Saccharomyces cerevisiae S288C: one gene and its partners. Changing the gene in region 2 together with the main gene of any one other region gives a genetic interaction. Each region holds a gene or a part of one and is shown on either strand. Other genes may lie near its edges.

The links.
Region 1: mutations in SRL2 (region 2) and HMS1 together harm fitness more than expected from each alone (negative genetic interaction), as found in Saccharomyces cerevisiae (one large-scale study listed by BioGRID).
Region 3: mutations in SRL2 (region 2) and YMR321C together harm fitness more than expected from each alone (negative genetic interaction), as found in Saccharomyces cerevisiae (one large-scale study listed by BioGRID).
Region 4: mutations in SRL2 (region 2) and CUP1-2 together harm fitness more than expected from each alone (negative genetic interaction), as found in Saccharomyces cerevisiae (one large-scale study listed by BioGRID).

The regions. Positions count from the first base shown.
Region 1 is NC_001147.6:385,889-393,042, forward strand, and holds HMS1 (Hms1p), read right to left. Parts: upstream 5,188-7,154; coding exon 3,883-5,187; downstream 1-3,882. Other genes in the region: DFG16 (Dfg16p), read left to right, coding at 937-2,796; YOR032W-A (uncharacterized protein), read left to right, coding at 6,288-6,488; Rad2 family nuclease EXO1, read right to left, coding at 6,528-7,154. UniProt on the Saccharomyces cerevisiae protein: Involved in exit from mitosis and pseudohyphal differentiation.
Region 2 is NC_001144.5:289,758-296,450, reverse strand, and holds SRL2 (Srl2p), read left to right. Parts: upstream 1-2,878; coding exon 2,879-4,057; downstream 4,058-6,693. Other genes in the region: EMP70 (Emp70p), read left to right, coding at 357-2,360; galactose permease GAL2, read right to left, coding at 4,515-6,239.
Region 3 is NC_001145.3:914,867-920,791, forward strand, and holds YMR321C (uncharacterized protein), read right to left. Parts: upstream 3,031-5,925; coding exon 2,713-3,030; downstream 1-2,712. Other genes in the region: YMR320W (uncharacterized protein), read left to right, coding at 1,880-2,185; SNO4 (glutathione-independent methylglyoxalase family protein), read right to left, coding at 3,500-4,213; phosphopyruvate hydratase ERR3, read left to right, coding at 5,222-5,925.
Region 4 is NC_001140.6:212,945-218,667, forward strand, and holds CUP1-2 (metallothionein CUP1-2), read right to left. Parts: upstream 1,775-5,723; coding exon 1,589-1,774; downstream 1-1,588. Other genes in the region: YHR054C (uncharacterized protein), read right to left, coding at 241-1,305; YHR054C-B (uncharacterized protein), read right to left, coding at 1,573-1,746; RSC30 (Rsc30p), read right to left, coding at 2,239-4,890; peptidylprolyl isomerase CPR2, read right to left, coding at 5,282-5,723. UniProt on the Saccharomyces cerevisiae protein: Protects the cell against copper toxicity by tightly chelating copper ions. May also act as a depository for copper designated for the effective transfer into the apo forms of copper proteins.

The DNA of each region.
Region 1 (7,154 bases), on a different chromosome or scaffold from region 2:
GATCGTTATATGGGAATACTAACAGTGAGAAAATGGAAGAAACGGGTTAGCGTAGAAAATTGTAATTAAAAAACAACAGTTTTAAGAAGGTGGTGGGCAATTAATACTTGAGGATTAATACTTAGAGCTTATTCAAAAAGAAAAGATAGAATTTCATGTAATACATGAGAACAATGTAAGGTTTTTAAGGTAACGAGTAACTAAGTTTTGAAATATCTTCACTAGCCTTGCAATCATCTTTTAGCTTTTCTATTTGCCGGATTCTTTACAACATAATCACGCTTTCTTCTAGTTGTAATTTTCCTTCTAGATGTCATTATTTCAACCGATGTCATTAATATCCTTTTATGGTGTTTACAAAAAGAAAGTTTCAAGTACCGCTCACCTACACTACGTTGTAATTCTTAGATACATAACTTTAGTTTTGTCGCCTATGTGCACAGATAAACAAAACAACCTATAAAATTTCCGTTGGGCCCTTTTGTCCCTGATTTCTGGTGTGTAACCCATTTATTTCTGTCCTGTAATAATTCGTCTTCGGTGATTGCCATATATACACAGTTTAGCTTTACTAACTATAAACATCCGAGAAGAAGAAAAAAGAAGGTCTGATTTCTATCAAACAACATGTGAAGATAACACAATCGATGTGATTGATATCAGATTTACTAGCCCCGTTGGATTGAAAAATCTGCAAGGAAGGGCTAAAGAGCAATATACTTTCTTTTGTTGTTTCGGGGTGATGAGAAAATTGTAACTTTTTTTTTTAACTTGGCGAGAAAATTGACTGGAAGAAGTGTCAAAGATAAGGCTTCTATCATATTCAAAACAAGTACCACCAAATGGCAGCTCAACTCCGAAGGCTCAAAAACAATACTTATTGATATTGCACTCACAAGCATTTTTTGTTGCGGAACGTCTTTACGTGCAAGATTAATGATCATAAGATTGCATTTTTACTACCTCCTCACTTTAGTTTACCATTTAGGACTTGTAGGTGCGTATGAAAAAGCAGCAAGAAAGAGAATTCAACCTCCCGATTTGATACCTGGTCCTCCGGGACATAAACTTGGTGATGAAAGACCACCGCATTACGACCACCGGCCACCTTATAAAAAACACATCGACAACATTCCAGCTTACAATCTGACTGATTTGATAGATGATAAACTACTAAATAAATATGAAAACTCATGCACGGTAAATGTATTGACAGGTGGCTTCATCTCTCTAGCAAGTAATTCGTGGCACTTACGTGCTTATAATTACACTTTAAATTACCCATCCTTTTTGATCCGATGCGATAATGGCAGTGCAAATCCTAATTTCTCTCATGTCTTACAAGACTTTGTTTATGACATCAACAACAAATTCAACGTTCAAGATGACAGTAGTAAATACATCGGAAAAGACCCATTTCCCTTAGGAATGATAATGATCACCTTTGCTTCTGGGTGTATCTGTGTGGCAACATGGATGCTATTTTTGGTTGTCTTATTACTGCCATCCGATAATCATAATAGAAGAAATAAAGTTGTACATGTTTACGTCCTTTTCTCTGCGATTATAAGAACTGTATTTCTAAACGAGACTATAGCCGTCATATTTGACAGCCAATATCACGATGACTACCAGGATGCGAGCCAATTTGAATCGTTCATCGTAGAAACTGCACCATATAAAATATGTGAATTAGTTGCAAATATTTTGAGTGATATAAACTGGATTTATATTGTTCACTACTTACAGTCCAATTATGGAAAACCAACTTGGAATTGGATCCCATTTAAAATGAAAAAGGGGACACATATCATAATTACCGTGGGTTGCTTCCTCTCACTAGCCGATAACATTTTATTCGCAAACCTTCTTTGGAGAAAGAACCTTGTAGTTTTGAAGGTATTTTACAAGCTAATCGAATTACTGATTTACACAATTTTCATCTCCATTATTTGTTACTTCACATGGCATAATTTTGCTTACATACTTTTACCGAAAACTGCTGAAATTAATACGGACGGTAAGTGTAAAACGAAATTGAGAATTCTTTGGGAAAATTATCACGAAACTATACCATTATTGGCGTATAATATTCTTATATTTATTTTATTCTATTTCACCACAATTTTTTTCGCTGCTTTCACCAAACATGTTAGAGGTTGGACATTTAACTTTGTTCATCTTTTGAAAGTTTTAATAACAGTGAACGTTTGGGGCTTAATTGGAGTATTGGAAAAGAGGGAGCTGCACATAAGCAAAAAAACAGTCCTTGGACGAAAAATTAACAATAGGGACAAATTTTTCGCCAATCCAACAGTCAATTATTACGGAGAAGATTTAGGCAAGCATTTAAGCGCCATAACGTTAAACAGGGATTTAAACACTACTAAAAGTAACACTACTTCCCACGATTCATCAAGTTTAGTAGGATCCCCTTCACCCACCTGGAAATCTCCAATCGAAAGAATAAGGGACAGAAGAAGAAGACATAAGATAATGAAAAGTGAGAATAAATTTGGGCAAAATCCCAGTTTTGGAAGTAAATCGAATGGCAAACCTAATACTAAAACGACATTATCCAAATATCGACAGCTATTAAGGAAGCCTAGGCGAAAAACCAATTCATATGAACCAAAAAATGGCATTGGACAGAATAAAGAAGGCTCAACTGTTAGACCAGGAGCCGACAAACATATTAGAGATTCCAATTATCTAGCTACAGACATCAGTGACAACGAAAGTATGGAAACCGAACTTCGAACCAACCACATTTATAATTACGAAAATAGTGATTAAGGCAGGCCCAGTGGACGAAAAGACATAACTGCAGAAGTACAGCTGCCTTTATTTCTTGTGGTCATTTATTGCTTTTATTTTCAAGTCAGATATACAAGAAAATCAAATCCCATCGTCAACGTCACGTATAAACGATTAATTTACAGTAATACCATACTCTACCAACATTATTTTAGTCCGACGTTCAGTCCTGTAGGTGTTCCAAATCCTTCTGGCATTGACTTCTGTGCAGAAACCCTTCAAAATGAGTTCCACTTTACGTCAGATCGCATAACAACCGGTCATATATTTTTTTCTTTTGCTAAACCCCCTACTGCAAGCACTTTTAAGAAAAAGAACAATAAATGCGTCTTTATTGCTGTGTGGAAGTGATTTTTGTCTTTCGGACAAAAAAAGGATAGGGATGCGAGAGGGCTGTGAAGTAGTGATCAAGCGGGGCCTATATAAGAAGGGCGCACATCGTCCCCCCTAAGAATAGCGAAGCGATATTACACTGAACACTACAATGTCAAATAGTACTCAATAAATATGACTGTAAAAATATGTGACTGTTAAGGCGAATGTTGTAAGGACTCTTGTCATTGTGGGAGCACCTGCCTTCCAAGCTGTTCTGGCGGTGAAAAGTGCAAATGTGATCACAGCACCGGAAGCCCTCAATGTAAGAGTTGTGGTGAAAAATGCAAATGCGAAACCACGTGCACTTGTGAAAAGAGTAAATGCAATTGTGAAAAATGTTAGGTGACCCCTACTCTTTACTTATCATAAATACATCATCATATTTTACCCTTAATTAACAACATTTATTTAACTGCATGAACTAAATATAAGGTATAGTTTCTTTTTCCCGGAATCTTTTTTTTAGATCGTTATTATTTAGACGGCACTAAGAGAAATAAATTAAACTAAATTACGGTGCGGAGCTCAAGGCATCTGCGAGTGTTTACTAACACTAAAAGAGATGAATAAAATAGATTTCTCAATGCAAAATTAAAATTACAATGTTACGCATACACACAAGTACAGATTTGTATATAGTATTTCTTCTTCGTTTTATCTGTCGTGTTGAAACATTTTGTTGTTCAAGTATTAAAAGTCTCCTGCGTTGTTAAAATCCATATCATGTGAATTGTTGGTGCCGCTCATGAGGCCGTTTTGATGTGGAATATTATATTGAATGTTATGCAATGGTTGTTGTTGTCGTGGCTGCCGCTGCCGTTGGCGTTGGCAGCTTCTGGTTTGCTTTTGTACTTGTTCACTACTACTGTTGTCACTCAACGGTTGAGATGGCTCGGTAAGATGGACGAAAGAATCCCGTGTGTCATTTGATAAATGTTGATTAGCCAAGCTTAGCTGTAGGCACTTTCTTTCTAAATGACAAATATATTCAATAGATTTCGTTAAAATGGACGCCTTATTCAATTTTGTTGCTGGCTCTAGGCCATCTAAGTCTGCTAGGTCTCTAGATGTAATGGGAAGATCGTTACATTTTTTATACGCTACTCGTAGCGTTGGGACAGTTCTCCTTAATTGTTCAATTTTATCATTAATATTGGAACGGTATTTCTTTTCAATTATATTGTGTGATACCCTTCCTGTCCTCACCCTTGTTATTCTTTTGGGTTTAACATGAAAATGTTTCCGTATAGGTGAAGTTTTTAACTTGAAGCTCATACTGTCAGCATTGTCAATATTCTCCAAATTCAAAGATGATTTAATCTCGTCTGCAGTAACTAAGGGAGACTCTGTCTTCGATAAAGGCAAAAAATTTTCAAAGCCAGACAATTGTTCCTTTTTCACGATTGAAGCTGCTGAAAGAAGACTCGAGTCCTTTTCAGATTTAAGATCGGTTTGCTTTACATTATCAATGTTTTCATTTTCCTCGCTACTAAAGACTTCCATGTTATCAATGTATTCTTCGCTGTCAATAGTATTGCCATTGTCTGTAGTCATTGTAGTACTACCCGTCGTTGTTGTAGGTATAGAAGCCAGAGCATCATTATAGTAATTACTATCAATTACTGGAGTGTGGCCTGAAGTATTAGGAAACGAGGAGTCACTATACTGGTCTGTGGCAGAATATGTGTTGTTCTTATATACAGGAGGCACGGGAGGTTGAAGATGGATGGGATGCTGAAATGGAGCGTAATAAGCATGCGTCGGAGGTCCTTGAGAACCCAAATCCTCGGTATTGTAATTTGGTGGCGGCACGTTGTAATTGTTACTTTGAAACATTAAATACATTTGGTTCGTGGTTACATTTACATTCTGCTCTTCGCTGCCATCTTGAGCACTTCTACAATCAAAAACCTTGATGGCGACTTTATTACCTAGGTCGTTCATTACAGAATTGCCATCCGAAGAACCAGAAAAAGGTTTTTGAAAATTTGGCATTTCCAATTTATACTCTTATCGTTGCTAAAATGAGTCGTGTACTGCAACTGCTCTATATTCTATATTCTAAGCGAATGGGTGGGTGGGTGTGACTAACTATTAAACTACCTAAGCGATCTCGAGAGCCAAGGCGAGTAGTAGAAATAAAACTAGAAGCGCGCTTTACAGGTTTGACCTTAAGTATGATGCGATAAGACACTTACATAGGACGATTTTTGAGGCTTACAATGTGTAACCAAGGTATATAAAAGGTGCTGCTGCTCTTGGGAAAAATACAAAGAAAACGCCTACGGTAAAAATACAATACCAGCTATTTTTTTCTTTTGAGAAGCCCACTCAAAGTAAAAATTAAACAATGATGGAAAAGAACGGAAAAAAGTTCAAACAGAAAATTAAAATACAGCAGAGAAGACTAGGCACAACAAAGTGGGATTGTGTCTACGCTTTTAACGGTGTACCCTTTTTCCTCGCCACGTTTTCACTCAGATCTAAATCTCTGCTGTAATTTACAGCGGCATAAGAAGGCACGTCCCCTGAAAGTAGGCTAGCCAGAAAACAAAAAGGCCAGAATCGGCGCGGAACTTCTCGTATCGAGAGCAAATGAGGGGTGCGGCACACAGTAGGAAAGGGTAACTGATTAACATACGTACACCCCGGCATAAAAGCTTCTGCAGGCTTTGTAGGCAAGAGACACTGCGGAGAATAAAAGGTTGTGACGCCCAATACCTTCGCCGGACTCCTTCTTGGCGTTCACAAAAGACGATGCTGCAGCATTTTTTTCTTGCGTCGAACTCGCGCCCACAGCAACGAGACGGTTCCGTTCCTTCCCGTAATGTTGCTTTGATTAACAAAATTCTCGTTTCCTCAGTTCTGTGAGCCCGTTTGTCAGCAGAGGAATCCCAATGAAGAAAATTTTTTCTGGAAAGTAAAAGCGAGCGAAAAGTTTAAGGTTCAGATTGCATCACTATTCGTTCAGTTGATAGCGAATGTAGACCGCTAGCGGCTTGATTAGATAAATAGAGTGGGTTAAAAAAAAGGAAAAAAAAAATGTGAATTGCACATGCCCAGCGCGCTCGCAAAACATATAAAGTTGTCCTCACATGCGGCGTGCATTGTTCATAGCGGGGCAAACATACTTGTGGCTTAATTTGACACATCTACTTTTAATCTTTTCTTGGTCTAGTACAATGGCTTTTTCCCAAAGTAGAAGGCTTCTTACTCCAACCGTACCCTGTCCTACTTTACTGGGCATTGATTTTTTAATTCTTGTCTTGAGGCATTTCGACGAGATTTTCATTTGAAAAATATACCTCCGATATGAAACGTGCAGTACTTAACTTTTATTTACCTTTATAAACAAATTGGGAAAGCAAGGAGATAGATCTGACTGCCGGCCGAGCTTGGCTTGACTTAGTAGTTTCGATGTCCCTTTTCTTACTTTCCTCATGCAAAATTGGTGATGAATTGAATGATTTTCGTTCATCTACGCTTTTCATGTCAATCACAATTCTCTGTGACCTGGCACCAATAAGGCTTTTTCGCAGTGATGGCCTTTGCGTGATTTGATTTTTACCATCGTTATCGTCGCAATCATCATCTCTATTTTGATTGACGTATACCATTCCTCTACTTTTTTGATTAACGTGCCGAGGAAATAGTGGTTGTCTATTTGCATTAACTCCGCTGAATGAAGATGAATATCTAAACTTTTGTAAAACTTTTGTGCACCCCGATATACTCCTCTGGGATGACCCGGGAAATGAGGTGGTGCTGCTCGTGGGAACTCTTGATTCCGCAGTTTCGCTATAATCCTCGCTAGTATCGCCATCACCGTCATCATCTGTATTATAGATTTCGTTACCGATAGTCTTTCCTTCAGAATTCTTTCGGTCCTCTTCAATGTCACTGACAACTTCAGAAACCTCTTCACTCAGGTTGTCGTCATCCTCTAAATTGGTTGTAATAAA
Region 2 (6,693 bases):
TCAACACGTATTGGAAGTCACTTGGAATGTTACCAATACTGCCTGAGAATGAGTGATTTTAACTTATAATACAAAAGTCCGGGTTACAGCCCTTTAAATTTTTTTCACGGCAATTTTTCTTTACTTGGTGAAGCCATGAAAAATGTCATCGGTTCGAAGAAATAGGCCTAATGATAAACAAAAAGGTAATTCAAGGTTTTTGAACTGCTTTGTTGTTTTTATTTGTATCTTTTTTTGGTACGTTAGTTAAGTTAATTTTTGGCTCCTTGTCCAGCTTTTCCTTCATCTGCTACCGTTATATTTTCAGATATTAATTTAGTAGCAGAGAGCAAGTACCGAAAGGAAAACAAAACAGAATGATTTACAAAATGGCACACGTACAGCTTTTGTTGTTGTATTTTTTTGTGTCAACAGTCAAAGCCTTCTATTTACCAGGTGTAGCGCCTACCACTTACAGGGAAAATGACAACATCCCATTGCTCGTTAATCATTTAACTCCATCAATGAATTATCAACACAAAGATGAGGACGGTAATAACGTTTCTGGCGATAAAGAAAATTTCTTGTACTCATACGACTACTATTACAATAGATTCCATTTTTGTCAGCCTGAAAAAGTCGAAAAGCAACCTGAATCCTTGGGATCCGTTATATTTGGTGATCGAATTTATAATTCACCATTCCAATTGAATATGTTACAAGAAAAAGAGTGTGAATCCCTGTGTAAGACCGTAATTCCGGGAGATGATGCTAAATTCATCAATAAATTGATAAAAAATGGCTTCTTCCAAAACTGGCTTATTGATGGATTACCGGCTGCAAGAGAGGTTTATGATGGCAGAACTAAGACTAGTTTTTATGGTGCTGGCTTCAACCTTGGTTTTGTACAGGTAACTCAAGGAACCGACATTGAGGCTACTCCAAAAGGGGCAGAAACCACCGATAAGGATGTGGAATTGGAAACACGTAATGATCGTAACATGGTGAAAACTTACGAATTGCCTTACTTTGCCAACCATTTCGATATTATGATTGAATATCACGATCGTGGTGAAGGTAACTATCGTGTAGTTGGTGTTATCGTCGAACCGGTTTCCATAAAACGTTCCAGTCCAGGTACATGTGAAACGACTGGCAGCCCATTGATGCTAGACGAAGGAAATGATAATGAAGTTTATTTTACTTATTCCGTTAAATTCAATGAATCAGCGACTTCTTGGGCCACCAGGTGGGACAAATATTTACACGTATATGATCCTTCTATTCAATGGTTTTCTTTGATAAATTTCTCCTTAGTTGTTGTCTTATTGTCATCTGTTGTTATCCATTCGCTATTGCGCGCACTGAAAAGTGATTTCGCACGTTACAACGAGTTAAATTTGGACGATGATTTTCAAGAAGATTCGGGTTGGAAATTGAATCATGGTGATGTTTTTCGTTCGCCAAGTCAATCGCTAACCCTTTCAATTTTGGTTGGTTCAGGAGTTCAATTATTTTTGATGGTAACTTGCAGTATCTTCTTCGCTGCATTGGGTTTCCTATCACCTAGTTCTAGAGGTTCCTTAGCCACTGTTATGTTTATCTTATATGCATTATTCGGGTTTGTCGGCTCTTATACATCTATGGGCATCTACAAATTTTTCAATGGGCCATACTGGAAGGCAAACTTGATATTGACTCCACTTCTAGTTCCTGGTGCTATTCTGCTAATAATTATTGCGTTGAACTTTTTCTTAATGTTTGTTCATTCTTCTGGTGTCATACCAGCAAGTACTCTGTTTTTTATGGTTTTTCTATGGTTTTTGTTCTCAATCCCATTATCATTTGCTGGTTCATTGATTGCCAGGAAAAGATGTCACTGGGATGAACATCCAACCAAGACAAACCAAATCGCAAGACAAATACCCTTCCAGCCTTGGTATTTAAAGACTATACCAGCTACTTTGATTGCTGGTATCTTTCCATTTGGCTCCATCGCCGTTGAGTTGTATTTCATATACACAAGTTTATGGTTTAATAAGATTTTTTACATGTTTGGTTTCCTCTTTTTCTCTTTCCTCCTATTAACTTTGACAAGTTCACTCGTCACTATTTTGATCACTTATCATTCCTTATGCCTGGAGAACTGGAAGTGGCAATGGAGAGGATTCATAATTGGAGGCGCCGGTTGTGCTTTGTATGTGTTTATTCATTCTATTTTATTCACCAAATTTAAGTTGGGTGGATTCACGACTATTGTCTTATACGTGGGATACTCCTCAGTCATTTCATTACTCTGCTGTTTGGTAACGGGGTCAATTGGCTTTATCAGCAGTATGCTCTTTGTTAGAAAAATCTACTCATCCATTAAAGTTGACTAGGCCAACGAAAAAGAGGTCCTATATGTTGGGTTAGGGCGTTTTTTATTTATTTCTCTACTGTTTATCTTTTTTAACAAAGAAAATGCTAGGCCCTATGGCCTTTGGACATGATACATAGTTTTTAGTAATATTTTTTTCAAAAAGATTAAAAGTACTATAGGATTCGAAGTTGTAATTTTTGGTGTATATACATTTATTTATTTGAATCTTTTTTCCATGATTCTGGAATGACATTCTGCGTTACAGTTTGGGAATAAATGCTCCTTTAAGGAAATAATATACAGCTTTAGTGTACAGGGTTAATCTATAGCCACATTAAAAGGACTTGATTATGACTTAAAATAAGTGACACTGACGCTTTAATATTCAGTCCGGGTGATGCTGTCATCTAGGACAAAACAATGGGAGTGGATAAGTAAGCAAGTAATAAGATAAAACAGTATTAGAAATTGGTAGTAGGCTGAAGCTTGTTGAAGCTGGTGGACAGAAAAACGCTTATATTGTGAAGATCCTTTTGGATGTCCAACTTTAAGAATTTTACTTTAAATTCCTTTGAAGATTATTACGGAAAGCCCTCTGAAACGCCAAAAATGGAGGAAGAGAAATTGGAAGTAACAAATGTGAATGCGTCCTCTTCAAAAAAAGTACATAAAAGCAAAAAGAGCACTTCAAAATATGACCAAAAGAATGTATTTAGAAACTCAATGACAGGAATTGCACAAATACTGCCAACAAAACCTGTGAAAATTATAGAGCAGAATATTGATTTTGCCAATCCGAAGAGCTTCGACCTCCTGCAATCTACACATACTATTTGCTTTAATAAAAGAATTAACACTACTAATACCAAGTTGAATGTGGAAACTCATACTTCTAGTGATATTGACAACGACATATTGCACGTTGGAGCCCCCACAGACTTGGGGGGAAACAGTAATGACGAAGCGGAAACAAGGCAACTAAGGAAGTTTCGATGGTCCAATAATAAAGAAAAAAGTCTTTGTGAAAAGTTAACAGTCATATATTGGGCCCTCTTGCTCCACACAACAAAGAGAGCAAGTAAAAGGAGACCTATATTATGTCATCAAATGATAGCTGAGTTTTTTAACAGAGTTTATAAGGAGAAATCAAGAGTACCTATAACTTCAAGATATATTAGAGATAACCTCGTCGCTTGGGTCACTCAAGGAAAGGAATTGCATGAAAAAGGTTGGGTAGGGGATGCCAAAACTGGCGATTTGCAAGAACAGTTCAATATAGCCACTGTCAAATTATATGAAAGCGCAGAAGACGGGCGTCTTTCCATTGGTAAAGACAAACCCTTTCGAGAGGAAAACACCGGCAGTGATAGTTTGGTTCGAGCGGAAGAGGACTCTACCGCTGTCACTAATGAAAATGGACATATTTCTTCAGAAAAAAACTTGAAAAAAGATCGTAGAGAGTCTATAAGGAACCAAATCCTGACTTTAGACCTAAATGACGAAGATTTTTTCCAAAATGTAATGAAAGTTTTATCAGCCATTGATGAACCAGAACTGAGACAATATGTAATCGTAATCTCAGAATTAGTTAGCATGGAAATGGATGATGGTAAAACGGTACGAGAAAAGCTCCGAGACGTTGAATTGAATATTAATAGGTTGCAGGTTGATATAAAAGAAATAAAGGAAATGCTTGTTACACTGATAAACAAATGACTGAAAAAAGCAACTCCTGGATCGTTCGAACATTCTCACTCCATTAATTGTATGTTAGCTCAGGAATTCAACTGGAAGAAAGTCCAGGCAAGTACCTGACTTATTTTCTAGAGGACCCCCCAGAGATAAGTCTGGTGATGTGGTCCTTTAATAATTTCATAGGGACAATTCATTTTGCGTTTTTAATTTTGCTCGGTGAACAAAGGATGGCAGAGCATGTTATCGTTTTCTTTTTTTTTTCCTGTTTTAGAGAAAAAGGTTATATATGTAATAATACTCTGATATATGTACACAAATAATAGGTTTAGGTAAGGAATTTATATAATCGTAAGGATATCATTGATAAGGGAAATTTTTTTTTTTTTTTTTCAAACAAATACTATGATAATTAAAATGAAGAAAAAACGTCAGTCATGAAAAATTAAGAGAGATGATGGAGCGTCTCACTTCAAACGCATTATTCTAGCATGGCCTTGTACCACGGTTTGTCGTCATGTTGTAAATCCTCTAAATCGTAATTATTACCTCTTCTGGATGAAGGAATCCAGCCTTCAGATTTCCAAGGTAAAACACCTTCTTCCCATAATTCTTGAATTTCTTCTAACGATAGGCCTTTAGTTTCTGGAACAAAGAAAAAGACATAAAAAAACATGGCAACCAAACAGCCCATGAAGACATAACCGTAGTAGAAGTTAATGGCAGATGTGATGAATGGGGTGAAAAATGCAATCAAGAACCCCCATACCCAATTGGAAGCAGAGGCCAACGCCATACATTTCGACTTGACTCTCAGTGGGAATGATTCTGCTGTGATGACCCAGGCAACTGGCGCCCAGGTTGTGGCATAACAGAAAATATAAAAACAGGTAAAGACAATCATACAGTTACCGGCACCTTTAGAAGATGGCTGGCTTTTACCGTGAGGATATAATCTAGTAACACCAACAGAGGCGTAGATGACCATACAAGCCATCATAGTGGCAGCGCCCAAAAGTAAACATTTACGATGTCCCAAGTTTTCGACAGTCCACAAACTAAAGAAAGTGGAGGCAAAGTTGACTACACCAATGACAATGGATGTTTCAAAGGAATCATCCAGGCCAACTGACTTGAAAATAACGGTACCGTAGTAGAAAAAATAATTGTTACCGGTTAATTGTTGGAACATTTGAACAAACACACCCATCAACAAACGTTGAAATACTTTGGTCTTGGTGGAAAATAATTCCCCCCAGGACGCATTGCCAGCCAGTTTTTCAGCTTCTATACCGGCCATGATCAGATCTAACTCTGCCTGGACGGCAGGATCCTCTGGTGACACCTTGTTAGACTTAGCAATGGAACGCTTGGCGTCTTCTACCTTATTCACCTCACATAAATAACGTGGGGATTCAGGAACTAACGTCAAAGCGCCAATCATAAATAATGACCAAGCGAAACATAGCCCTAATGGAACTCTCCATTGAACTGAGTTCGAATAGCTCTTTGTACCGTAATTAGTACAGTAGCCCAAAAAGATACCTGCAGTAATCATCAGCTGATAACAAGAAACTAGTGTGCCTCTCAAGTGCTTTGGAGCAATTTCAGAGATCAACATAGGACATAAGACGGCGATGCCGCCGACACCCAAACCAGATATGATTCTACCAATGAAATATTGGTACCACTTGTTGATAGAGGCAATTTGAATGATAATACCAACTATATAAACCGAGACGACAATCGAAAGACCCTTTTTACGGCCATACATATCTCCACCTTTGGAAAGTATAATACCACCAAAGGCACAGCCAATATTGAAAATGGCGACGATTAAACCTGTTCTGACGTTTGACAAATAGTGGGTACCATCCTTATGTTTCATACCAAACCTTCTCAAAAAGTCTGTTTGGACAACAAACCCAGAAATAGTACCGGTATCCCAGCCAAACATGAAGCCGCCGAAGGCAACACACAAACAAAGCAAGGAAACGGTAACATATTCAGACATGGGCTTCTTGGGTATCTCTATAGGAACACTTTGGGAGCCTTCAGACCCTGACTCACCGGCTTTCAATTCATCATTAGAATACTTTTGAGATTGTGCGCTTAAATGGGAATCTTTACTGAGTGAAGAGATCACGTCTTCACCAGCTTGGGGTTGCTGTGAAACAACAGGCATATTGTTCTCCTCAACTGCCATTATGAAAGAATTATTTTTTTTATTATGTTAATCTTGTGTTTACTTAACTATTACTATTCTTGATGATAATTGAATAAGGTGCATAATGAAGAGCAATTCACAACACCAAATTTTCAATCCAATTACTGATTGTTTATATATGTCTACAAAACTTATCCTATCTCCACATTTTAGCCTGCGAAATGTTTGTTTTTTGAACAATAGCTCTCCAGAATGTTGTATAATTTAAGAATATGTGCACAGTTAACTTTCTAGCAGGAGTATAATGCCATTTGCTCCCCATCTTGAGATGGGAAGGGCTTAACTAATCTCGGTTCGGAGTGATCCGCCCCGATACTGCCTTCTGCCTTAATATCGTCCAAGGCACATGGACCCCTGAACGGCGCAGATATCTCCGCACGGACGAAAGACCGCCGGTGCCTTCCTGAGGCAACCGCCCCTTTCGAATATAGAT
Region 3 (5,925 bases), on a different chromosome or scaffold from region 2:
AAAGACTCAGCAAAAATGCTCATGACCTAATCAGTTTCGAGAGCAACCCCACGGGTAGGAAAGAAAGAGGCGCCAACGTTAAAGGAAACTGCCCATATCTAATACATAACCGCACAAGCTCCAAGCTCATTCAACACCTGTGTGATTTACGCCCCAATAAGGCTCAAGATTCCTCAATATTTTGTCGTTGTTCGAGCCATGAAAACCTCAAATTACTGCTACAGGACCCTAGGGTCTCGCTAAAAAAATGACTACGCGCGCTTATATAATTACTCGAATAAGACAAAAGAAAAAAACCCTTGCGATATGTCGTAGACACGTAAAAATGGCCCATTTAGTGGTAGTCGCAAACTAGAGGGGTAAAAATAACCTGTCCAGTACTGAAAGTAATGCTAGGGAAATGCGAATGACCGTACGTACACCTTCGTACATGCAGGTATTTAGGGGGCTTATTGTTTATGAACAATAGCACTATGCCAGGTCAAACATATCATGTTCGCGCAGTCTCCTCGTGGGATATATAAAGTGAACAAAAAGTGCACCCGGTTTTCGGAACAACGCTCTTCGCAACAAGGCAAAAAAGAAAAATGGGACAACGTAATCGGAGAATACCCAAAGGACATTATAATCCAATCAACGTAGTAGTACGTATGGTTAGAACAGCAAGCACAGATATTTGCTCATATGCAAGGAAACTGGTGTGATTAGAATGCCTTAAACATGAGTCCAATGTATGCGAATAAGATGCTACGTTGAATAAGCAGATCAAAGAACTTTTGGTAGGAAAAGCTTCTTTTTTTAAAAGCGCACGTTTCTTTTTCTTTGTTGGACCTTCCATCAAAATCCTTAATACGTGCAGCGAAGCAGCAACGCATTGACAGTTCATACAGGAAAGAGGAACAAATATTTTGAGCTGCTTGTCCCAGGAATCTAGGTGCTTACGTATCTTTTATTTTATTTAAATGTATGATCTTACCCACGATAATGGTCTTAGTACTTTAGTTTGGCAATGATGGAACCGGAGGACAACGGACAAAAGTTAGGGTATCTTTACTCTGTCACTGCGTATTTTTTGAAATACACTATTTTTACAAGGAGTTAAGCATAACAAGCACGTGCTGCAGATGTTTTCATTTAGTGAGTGAAGATCTTTATTCAAGTAATTCATCTTCATCCGTATAACTTCTTAGTAAAGCGACAAGGTCTGATGGCCGAATTTTTTTAATTTTGGCCATCGTATTAAAATGAACACTCTAAAGCCGAAATGAGAAAGATCTCGCTAATAGTAGGTTAGGACTCAATGGCTAGGTTATATTTTTGCCTTCGTGAGAGTAATTTACGTCGAGTAATGTCGCCTGACATCCATATCCCTTTGTTATTCTTCATTAAATGTCACTACAAATTCTGTCCTTACTGAAGTAAAGAATATTTGAAAATACTACACTGATCTTTAATTACTGATCTACAATAACACACAGTGTTGAAGGATAATTCCAAGACTCTCACCTGCGACTGGTCGTGTTAGGAAACCAAACTGAAATATGCTAAATTTCGAGTGAAACCTACCGGAATCGGTACATCTCCAGAGGATTTTAAGTGAAGATTTAACATCGTATAACAAGCATGCATAACTTGTCACTGGGATAAAGAGAAGGTACTAAATTTTCGTAGGCGACAATTTTCCATCTCATAGAGTACTCGAAGAAAAACATAAACACTATTAAAAATAGCTCCTAGTAAAGGCTTTTTGGATTCTAATTCAAGTTTACAAATACCTACCAACAACATTCTTGATATTGTAATCTGCTCTGAAGTAGATACCCTAACGGGATTGTTAAGTCAGGGAGCAGCGTAACGACATTCACGAAAAGCTCTAAAAATGCGTAGATTTGGAAAGCCATGTATTGTTTCACATGAAATTTCGGCCAGGCCTCACATATTACAGCCTTGTAATTATAAGATGGTGCTGAGTTGTAAGGTAAAAAAACCCATTGAGTTATTGCACCTTCAAGAGTTAATACTTTACACTTTTATGAAAATTTGCCTTCACGTAAACTTGATCCAGCAAAACATCAATAAGTTGTCATATATTTCTCGAAAATATCCAAGGGCACCTGCTTTTATCAGCTGCGACAATAGAGCCACGGAGCCAACAAAAAAAGGCTTTTTAGTTTGCCGCATGTAATGATTGGCGAATAATTTTTCAAGGTTATGATTGTTCTTGGGAACACAGATCACGGAATCCTTTTGCCAATAATACATTAGATGGAATATTTGGATACAACTTTCGAATATAACGCCTTTTGAGCTAGCAATATCGACTGTATGGGAATATAAAAGTTAATTTTAGGCAATTTAATTAATCGTGACTGGTCGGAGAAGGCGAGATTGTAGCTCCACCATGTGAGGATTATTGGCAAAGGTTTAGATCCGGTGGAGATTTATCTTCTTTTACCCCATCTTACTTGTGCACTCTCCCAAATTCCCATCTGATGAACTGTTAGTTGATTCCTTTAGATTATAAAACATATGATGTTTACTCTGTTTTTTGTCGGCGAAGTACGGAAAAGCATTTGTGACTCTAAAAAAACATGGCAAGGATAATTAATTAACAATACTTCTTGTGCTGTTTATAAAATGTATTTAGTGTAACATGCTGCTTCCTAGCATATGTATAATGTTAAGAATTTTCCAGTTTCTTTAAAAAGGCATTTACGTGTATTTCTTGACGGCTGCAGAAATCTCTTGGATGTCTTTTGGACTTGTTCTGCAACAACCACCAATGATACGGGCACCGCTGCTAATGTACTGTTTAACAACCGTATCCCAACTGTTCAGCTTATCGCTATTTGGCAACCATATCTTCTTTTCAGTATCATAAACTTCACCACTGTTTGGATAAGCAAGCAAGGCCATATTTGGCAGTGCTTGATGTAGAGACTCAAGAATGTCGGGTGATTGGTTGAAGCTGACGCAGTTGATTCCTAAGAACGAGAGGTTAGGATTTATTTTGTCGCCCAAGTCCATCATCTATTTACTACGAAACGATAAATTTCCCCGTTTTCTTTTACTTTTACTTCATTTAATATAATTCATATTTATTTCCCATGTACCAATTAATTACTCCTAAAAGAACAGAAATAGAAAAAAGTTGTATATAACAAGCCAAAAAAAAAAAAGAAAAAAGGAAACACAGCTTATTTCAAATTGCAATCTGCGTATTTCGTAAGTAACGAATGATCTCACAGCATTGCTTTTTTTTTTTTTTTTTTTATATATATGTACATTACCTATGTCACATATGACCATGATGAGTACAACACTAAAAACCAAGGCCTACTATTCAATTGTTCTCTATATGATTTCCATTCTAGCAAAATCGAGTGCTACCGATCTGCCGTTTTCTTTACCTTTCGAACCATTGAGCTGTTAGCCTTCTCTTCACAGAAACTGAAGGCCATTAGAAGCCTCCCCTTCAACAATTCCCTTGTCTTTTGTTTCAGCTATATAATGCGTTTATAGCTCTAATTGTGGTCGAATAGGAAGAATTTGCGTTAACACCCGTAACTAGCTTTCCATCGGTAATAGAGTAGTCATCCCAGGGATGAATTGGCGCCAAGTACTTGGCTCTATTCTTGTTTGCAACGCGTTCAACCGTTGTCAATTTTCTGCTCCTCAAGATGTCGTCAACTCCCAGGGCGATTTCACCCTCGAGTGGGAAACCTGTTATAGCTTTGCCTTCGATTAATGGTCTTGTTGTTTTGATATCTATTAATCCATCGAAAAGGAGCGGTCCATGACAGATGGCGGCGATCACACCCCCATTGGCATATATCTTGGATGCAATATCTTGCAGATTTTTAGCTTTGGGATAGTCAAATAGAGCACCATGTCCAGCAGATGCAAAGAATATTTTATAGTCGCTGGCGTTGACTTCATTTGCGGTCTTGATCCTCGCTAACGCCTTATTGAAGGCGGAATTTTTCGTTTCAAAGTTCATCTTATCTTCGCCACCAATAAAGCTCTTTGGCAAGTAATGTTCATCCCAGCCAAATCCACCAGTCTCAGAAACGAAGTCCACTTCGAAACCATGCTTTTCGAAAGTATCGAACGACCGCAAAATCTCAACTACAAAAACGCCTGTTTTCGCACCATCTTTATAGAAGGGACCGTGGTATGAAGTAAGAGATATTAGCGCTCTTTTTGGAGTCATTGCAAGGCCAGTTTTCTTTTTGAATGAAGGAGAAAAGTGTTCTAGAAATATGTTTTAGTTCTAAGTATCGTTGTCTGGAGCAAGCAAAGAAAAGCAGACCTGTATGTGCAACTTTCTTGTTTTCCATTAAAATCTCAAGAACCGGCCCCTTGACTGTGCTCATATATCAAGTATCGGTTTTAAAGTCCCCTAATTGTGATAATTGCAAGAATGACAGTCAAAAAGATATTTTTCTTTTCTTTCTTTTTACCTATCCTTCATGAAAATACCTATGCTGATACTGAATATCTTCATTTGCAGCTATGCAATATTTCAGATACTGCATTTTACCCAAGAGTTTCTTTACTGGTGGTTGGATTTTTTTTAAGACGAGAAGATTACCAGTCCTGGATGTTCATGAATGTGCCTATTGCGTCATCAGCGACTCCGCGCCAAGAAAAGAAATACTCGCATGCTCGGATTTATAGAATCGCATAATGGAAATAGCTTCCTTAAAGGATGGAGATAAGGAAAAAATGACAAGAACAAGGAAGTACTTGGGAGCTTTCTCCGACATGTTAAATATTTGAAACTCACGCAGCTCTCCTGGAAAGTTGCATCTGGAAAGGTAAGGTTGTTTTTTGTTCAGACATCAAAATCGGCTCTTGTAGACAATGTCACAGATCCACAAGTTGAAAAAAAAGTTTCGATGAACTGGATAAGGGGAGAGGTCACAAACAAAGTGTAGGGGGTGAGTAGTATAGTGGTAACTTGTTCATTTACCTAAATAACATTCTCACTAGAAAAGAGATATTGAAAGACTCCTCGTTTACCTAACTTGGCTGGTTCTTAGGTATATAATAGAAACATGGATCTGGCAGGTTATTACTTACAGTTTGCATTCCCACCAGGTAACAATTTTCATTATATATAGTTATTTTTTACCACCACTTCTTCTTCTTTCACTTTGTCTTGCAATAGAAATACCAAAACAAGGTGAGGAAAAAATCGAATCTCAACGATAAAAATATGTCCATCACGAAGGTACATGCTAGAACGGTGTATGATTCTCGCGGTAATCCGACTGTTGAGGTTGAAATTACAACAGAGAATGGTCTCTTCAGAGCGATCGTCCCATCTGGTGCCTCCACCGGCATTCACGAAGCTGTTGAACTTAGAGACGGGAACAAGTCCGAATGGATGGGAAAAGGGGTGACCAAGGCAGTCAGTAACGTCAATAGTATCATAGGGCCTGCTTTAATCAAGTCCGACTTATGTGTAACCAATCAGAAGGGCATAGACGAGCTCATGATATCGTTAGACGGAACTTCTAACAAGTCAAGGTTGGGCGCCAATGCTATCCTTGGTGTTTCCTTGTGCGTTGCTCGAGCTGCTGCCGCACAAAAGGGAATTACTCTCTACAAGTATATAGCCGAGTTAGCGGATGCTAGACAGGACCCCTTTGTTATTCCTGTTCCTTTTTTCAATGTTTTGAATGGTGGAGCCCACGCCGGTGGCTCTTTAGCTATGCAAGAATTCAAGATCGCGCCAGTCGGGGCTCAGAGCTTTGCAGAAGCCATGAGGATGGGTTCGGAGGTTTACCATCATTTGAAGATATTGGCGAAGGAGCAATATGGACCTTCCGCTGGAAATGTTGGTGACGAGGGTGGAGTCGCCCCCGATATCGACACTGCCGAGGACGCCTTGGACATGATTGTGAAAGCCATTAACAT
Region 4 (5,723 bases), on a different chromosome or scaffold from region 2:
TAGAAGAAATGCCAGCAAAAGAATCTCTTGACAGTGACTGACAGCAAAAATGTCTTTTTCTAACTAGTAACAAGGCTAAGATATCAGCCTGAAATAAAGGGTGGTGAAGTAATAATTAAATCATCCGTATAAACCTATACACATATATGAGGAAAAATAATACAAAAGTGTTTTAAATACAGATACATACATGAACATATGCACGTATAGCGCCCAAATGTCGGTAATGGGATCGGCTTACTAATTATAAAATGCATCATAGAAATCGTTGAAGTTTGCCGTAGTAATACCCAGATTATCAGATTCCAAATCCTTGTCAATAATTATACTCCTTTGGACAACTTCTCTTTCCATTAAAAAATCTGAAATCTCCTTAAATTTTAAATAGATTCTGTTCAGTTCACTAACGGGGAATTTCAAGAGAACATTTTTGTTCTTCGCCGACTGACTATAATCTGTAACATTATTGTTATCAGAGTTTCTCGCAAAATTTTGTTTTTTCTTGCTAAATCTCAGCATATATTTAATCAGATTCAAAACCTTGTTGAAACCTTTAATAGATTTGAAACTTCCGTTGCTATTCATTTCATCTCGTAAAAAGGATACGATAATTTCTATTTTTTTTAAAATTTCCAAAATCTTGTCATGAATCAATAGCAATTGAACATTAATCTCCTCATTTGAAAGATTTTTGTAAAATTCGTCATATAATATTACTTCACAACGTTGGAAAATAGCAAATGTGATTGCTATAAAATTCTGTAAGATTTCAATAAAATGATTTGCGAATAAAAATTCTTTACCATTAGAATGAAAGCGATTATTGCCGCTTGAAAATGACTTTATCGACTTTATGGGGAAGATAAAATTAAATGTTATTGAGTAAAAAATGTGCATATTAGAAATAATTTTCATCAGATCCTTTGCACATCTTTCAGAGTTCGAGGTCTTATTGTTGTTAGAAGAATGTTGAACTGCCATGGACAAAGAGGATTCGTTTTGAACAAAAAGGAAAAAATTTGTATAAACAATGGTATTGATAAAATTTAAAGTGTCTTTCCATTCTTTTCTGACTTCGTTGTCATGAAAATATAAGTCTACTGTATTACTCACGCCCATAGTCAAGGTTTCTAACAGACTTTCAATTTTGGTTAAATTTACTGGCAAGTAGAAAGGAACACCTTGCAGAATATTTATCAATTTTGCTTGCGTTTCCAGTAATTTTAAATCGTTAGCAATTAAAGGAATGTCGTTCGTATCAATAGAGGCAGGTATCGGAGATAGGTTTTCAGCAGCGGGTACCATGAATAGCTTTTTTTTTTTTTTTTATTCGAAATCTGGGGATTCTATACAGAGTTGTAAGTTAGGCAAACTAGAATTTGGTAATAATATTTTATTCTTGGGGCGACATATGGAGATACTTTATTTCCTTTTCTTAATTATTAACGTATACCTATAAATTAACAAAGTATCTAAACAAAATACATAAGTGTACTCAAACTGAGTAGAATCGTCGATTAAACTTCCTTCTCCTTTTAAAAATTAAAAACAGCAAATAGTTAGATGAATATATTAAAGACTATTCGTTTCATTTCCCAGAGCAGCATGACTTCTTGGTTTCTTCAGACTTGTTACCGCAGGGGCATTTGTCGTCGCTGTTACACCCCGTTGGGCAGCTACATGATTTTTGGCATTGTTCATTATTTTTGCAGCTACCACATTGGCATTGGCACTCATGACCTTCATTTTGGAAGTTAATTAATTCGCTGAACATTTTATGTGATGATTGATTGATTGATTGTACAGTTTGTTTTTCTTAATATCTATTTCGATGACTTCTATATGATATTGCACTAACAAGAAGATATTATAATGCAATTGATACAAGACAAGGAGTTATTTGCTTCTCTTTTATATGATTCTGACAATCCATATTGCGTTGGTAGTCTTTTTTGCTGGAACGGTTCAGCGGAAAAGACGCATCGCTCTTTTTGCTTCTAGAAGAAATGCCAGCAAAAGAATCTCTTGACAGTGACTGACAGCAAAAATGTCTTTTTCTAACTAGTAACAAGGCTAAGATATCAGCCTGAAATAAAGGGTGGTGAAGTAATAATTAAATCATCCGTATAAACCTATACACATATATGAGGAAAAATAATACAAAAGTGTTTTAAATACAGATACATACATGAACATATGCACGTATAGCGCCCAAATGTCGGTAATGGGATCGGCTTACTAATTATAAAATGCATCATAGAAATCGTTGAAGTTTGCCGTAGTAATACCCAGATTATCAGATTCCAAATCCTTGTCAATAATTATACTCCTTTGGACAACTTCTCTTTCCATTAAAAAATCTGAAATCTCCTTAAATTTTAAATAGATTCTGTTCAGTTCACTAACGGGGAATTTCAAGAGAACATTTTTGTTCTTCGCCGACTGACTATAATCTGTAACATTATTGTTATCAGAGTTTCTCGCAAAATTTTGTTTTTTCTTGCTAAATCTCAGCATATATTTAATCAGATTCAAAACCTTGTTGAAACCTTTAATAGATTTGAAACTTCCGTTGCTATTCATTTCATCTCGTAAAAAGGATACGATAATTTCTATTTTTTTTAAAATTTCCAAAATCTTGTCATGAATCAATAGCAATTGAACATTAATCTCCTCATTTGAAAGATTTTTGTAAAATTCGTCATATAATATTACTTCACAACGTTGGAAAATAGCAAATGTGATTGCTATAAAATTCTGTAAGATTTCAATAAAATGATTTGCGAATAAAAATTCTTTACCATTAGAATGAAAGCGATTATTGCCGCTTGAAAATGACTTTATCGACTTTATGGGGAAGATAAAATTAAATGTTATTGAGTAAAAAATGTGCATATTAGAAATAATTTTCATCAGATCCTTTGCACATCTTTCAGAGTTCGAGGTCTTATTGTTGTTAGAAGAATGTTGAACTGCCATGGACAAAGAGGATTCGTTTTGAACAAAAAGGAAAAAATTTGTATAAACAATGGTATTGATAAAATTTAAAGTGTCTTTCCATTCTTTTCTGACTTCGTTGTCATGAAAATATAAGTCTACTGTATTACTCACGCCCATAGTCAAGGTTTCTAACAGACTTTCAATTTTGGTTAAATTTACTGGCAAGTAGAAAGGAACACCTTGCAGAATATTTATCAATTTTGCTTGCGTTTCCAGTAATTTTAAATCGTTAGCAATTAAAGGAATGTCGTTCGTATCAATAGAGGCAGGTATCGGAGATAGGTTTTCAGCAGCGGGTACCATGAATGAAGACTGACCTAGAAGCGAATGTCTTGAGTAATACATTTTTTTCAAAAAATGGAATAACTTGAAATCTTTTATCTGGAAGCTTAACAGACAGCTCAAATCTTCGTCTAAACTTGATTTATGATCATCATGCATGTACAGAGATTCATAAAATTTTGTGATGGCAATAAATTTGATTGTCTCTTGGTCATAATATTCCAGGTTTATCAATGTGATTTGGCTTCGAATCAACCTCAAATTATTCATTAATGCCGAAACATGGTTATTAATAGCCTGCTTATTGAATAGGGTCATTGAATCGTTTAACAACAGTAGAAGCACAGTTAATTCGCCTAGTTTGGTCAGTTGAGATAAAGGAAGATCGACCGTTGAGAATGAAGGACAGGTATCACCATTTGGAAAAGAGTTATGAACAAATTCTAGTAAGAGGGTTTTGTCAAAGATTGGCAAAAATTCTTCAATATTCAGATTGTTAAGGGATTCAGAGTTTAGTGTCTCAATAATTATTGCTTTTGGTGGGAAGTTAACTTTGCAAACTTCCATATATTGTTGGTGATTTTTATTGTTAGGAGGACTTACTTTGAACTGATTAATATGGCAGATATCGTGCAAAATATTATAGAACTTGAAAAGATAATGATCTCTAAAAATGATGAAGTTTTTAGTGAAAAGGTAGTTGGGGGTATCCTTCAACGGTTTCACTTGGACTAAACTTTGCACATCTGTTATTGTGAGCGCTGTAAAGTATTTTTGTGAGGACTGAGAAGTCCTTGAAGTCTGATGATCAAATCCGGCTCTTTTACCGTCAACCTTGCCTTTCTTAGAATTCTCACCTGTTTTGTTAATTTTGTTTGCCGTGGTATTGTCGGCATTTAAATTCGATTTTTCTTTCAAACTTTTCAGTTGCAAGCTTTGTAAATCAAGCAATTTGTTTTTTAAAAAGTCTATCTCCTTGATTAATACTTCCTCTTGAGTAAACGGAGAAGTCATTAGATCGAAAACGGCCGAGTCTTGATTGATACCAACATTAAAAGAGTATGGGTTATCTGTATAGTCAAAACTTTGAGCGTTAACCAGTTGTAATCGTGTGTTATATTCTCTAATCTGATCCATGGAGGGCACATCTGGACTATCGCTTCTCACAATAGTGTTTCCATGAACATTACTACTAACGGTACTACTATTCTGACGAGGAGCAGTATTATTATTGGTGTTATTATTCTGGTAGCTAGCGGCCTTGGTCCACTGCATCGCAGTATCCACAGAGGGGTTGAACGAGAAGTTGAATGCCTCTATCGACGTTTGCATAATCGGATACTGCGTTTGAATCATTACGTTTTTCTGATTTACACCGTTTCCCTGACTAAAATGGTTGGAACCTTGGCCATTGCCGTGCGTGGACATCCCGGACGCAGAGGGCACAGCGACCATCTTACCAGGTCCATCTGGATAAAAACAGTCCGGCTTGTTATACTTGACGCAATTCCCACATATCGGTTTTGCCCTGTCGCACCCGATCTTTCTCTTCCTGCATTGGGTGCAAGCAGGCGGCTTCCTCACTTTTCTCACTTGCATGTCCATCATGATTAAAAACAAACGGCAAAGCTACGCACTAGTCACAGCAGACAACGACAATGCTCCTCTCATAAATTGCTAAGATACATTAAAAACAACAACTCTCTTCTTGTTCTTCCTCTCTTTGCATCATTCCTGCAAAATATCACACTACACGAGCTAGGATGTATAACCATCCTTAGTAGGACGCCAAGGTTATATTCAAAATGATATGATTTCCCCAATTAATACTTGCTGTTGCATTTTGAATCGGATGTAACTGGGACTAATGCTGCGCTAACCAGACGTACGTTCCGGTGGTCACAGTGCGGAACTGTTCCCACGTTCTCTAGTTAATTTACCTTTAACTATACATACTGAAATTGATATCTATGTATATAGTATGAAATATTGCATATACTCAAGAAGAGAGCTCAGGCGTCCACTCACCGCATTTTGCGATCTTGACCGCCTCGAGAGGTTTGTCATTCGCATCTCTGGACACGTGCTGTATGTAGTTCACCACATCCATGCCGTCCACAACCTGTCCAAATACCACATGCTTTCCATCGAGCCACGACGCTTCTTCCGTAGTGGTGATGAAGAACTGAGATCCATTGGTATCTTTACCACGATTAGCCATCGATAGTCTGCCCTTGCGATCATGCTTCAAAGTAAAGTTTTCGTCAGGGAAAGTATCTCCATAGATGGATTTGCCACCAACGCCAGTGCCGTCTGTGAAGTCCCCTCCCTGTACCATGAAGTTGGGAATCACCCTATGGAAAGTGGACCCGATGAACCCCTTTTTGGAATTAGTGGTGGTGCTTAACTTGTAGAAGTTCTTCGCCGTCTTAGGACATACC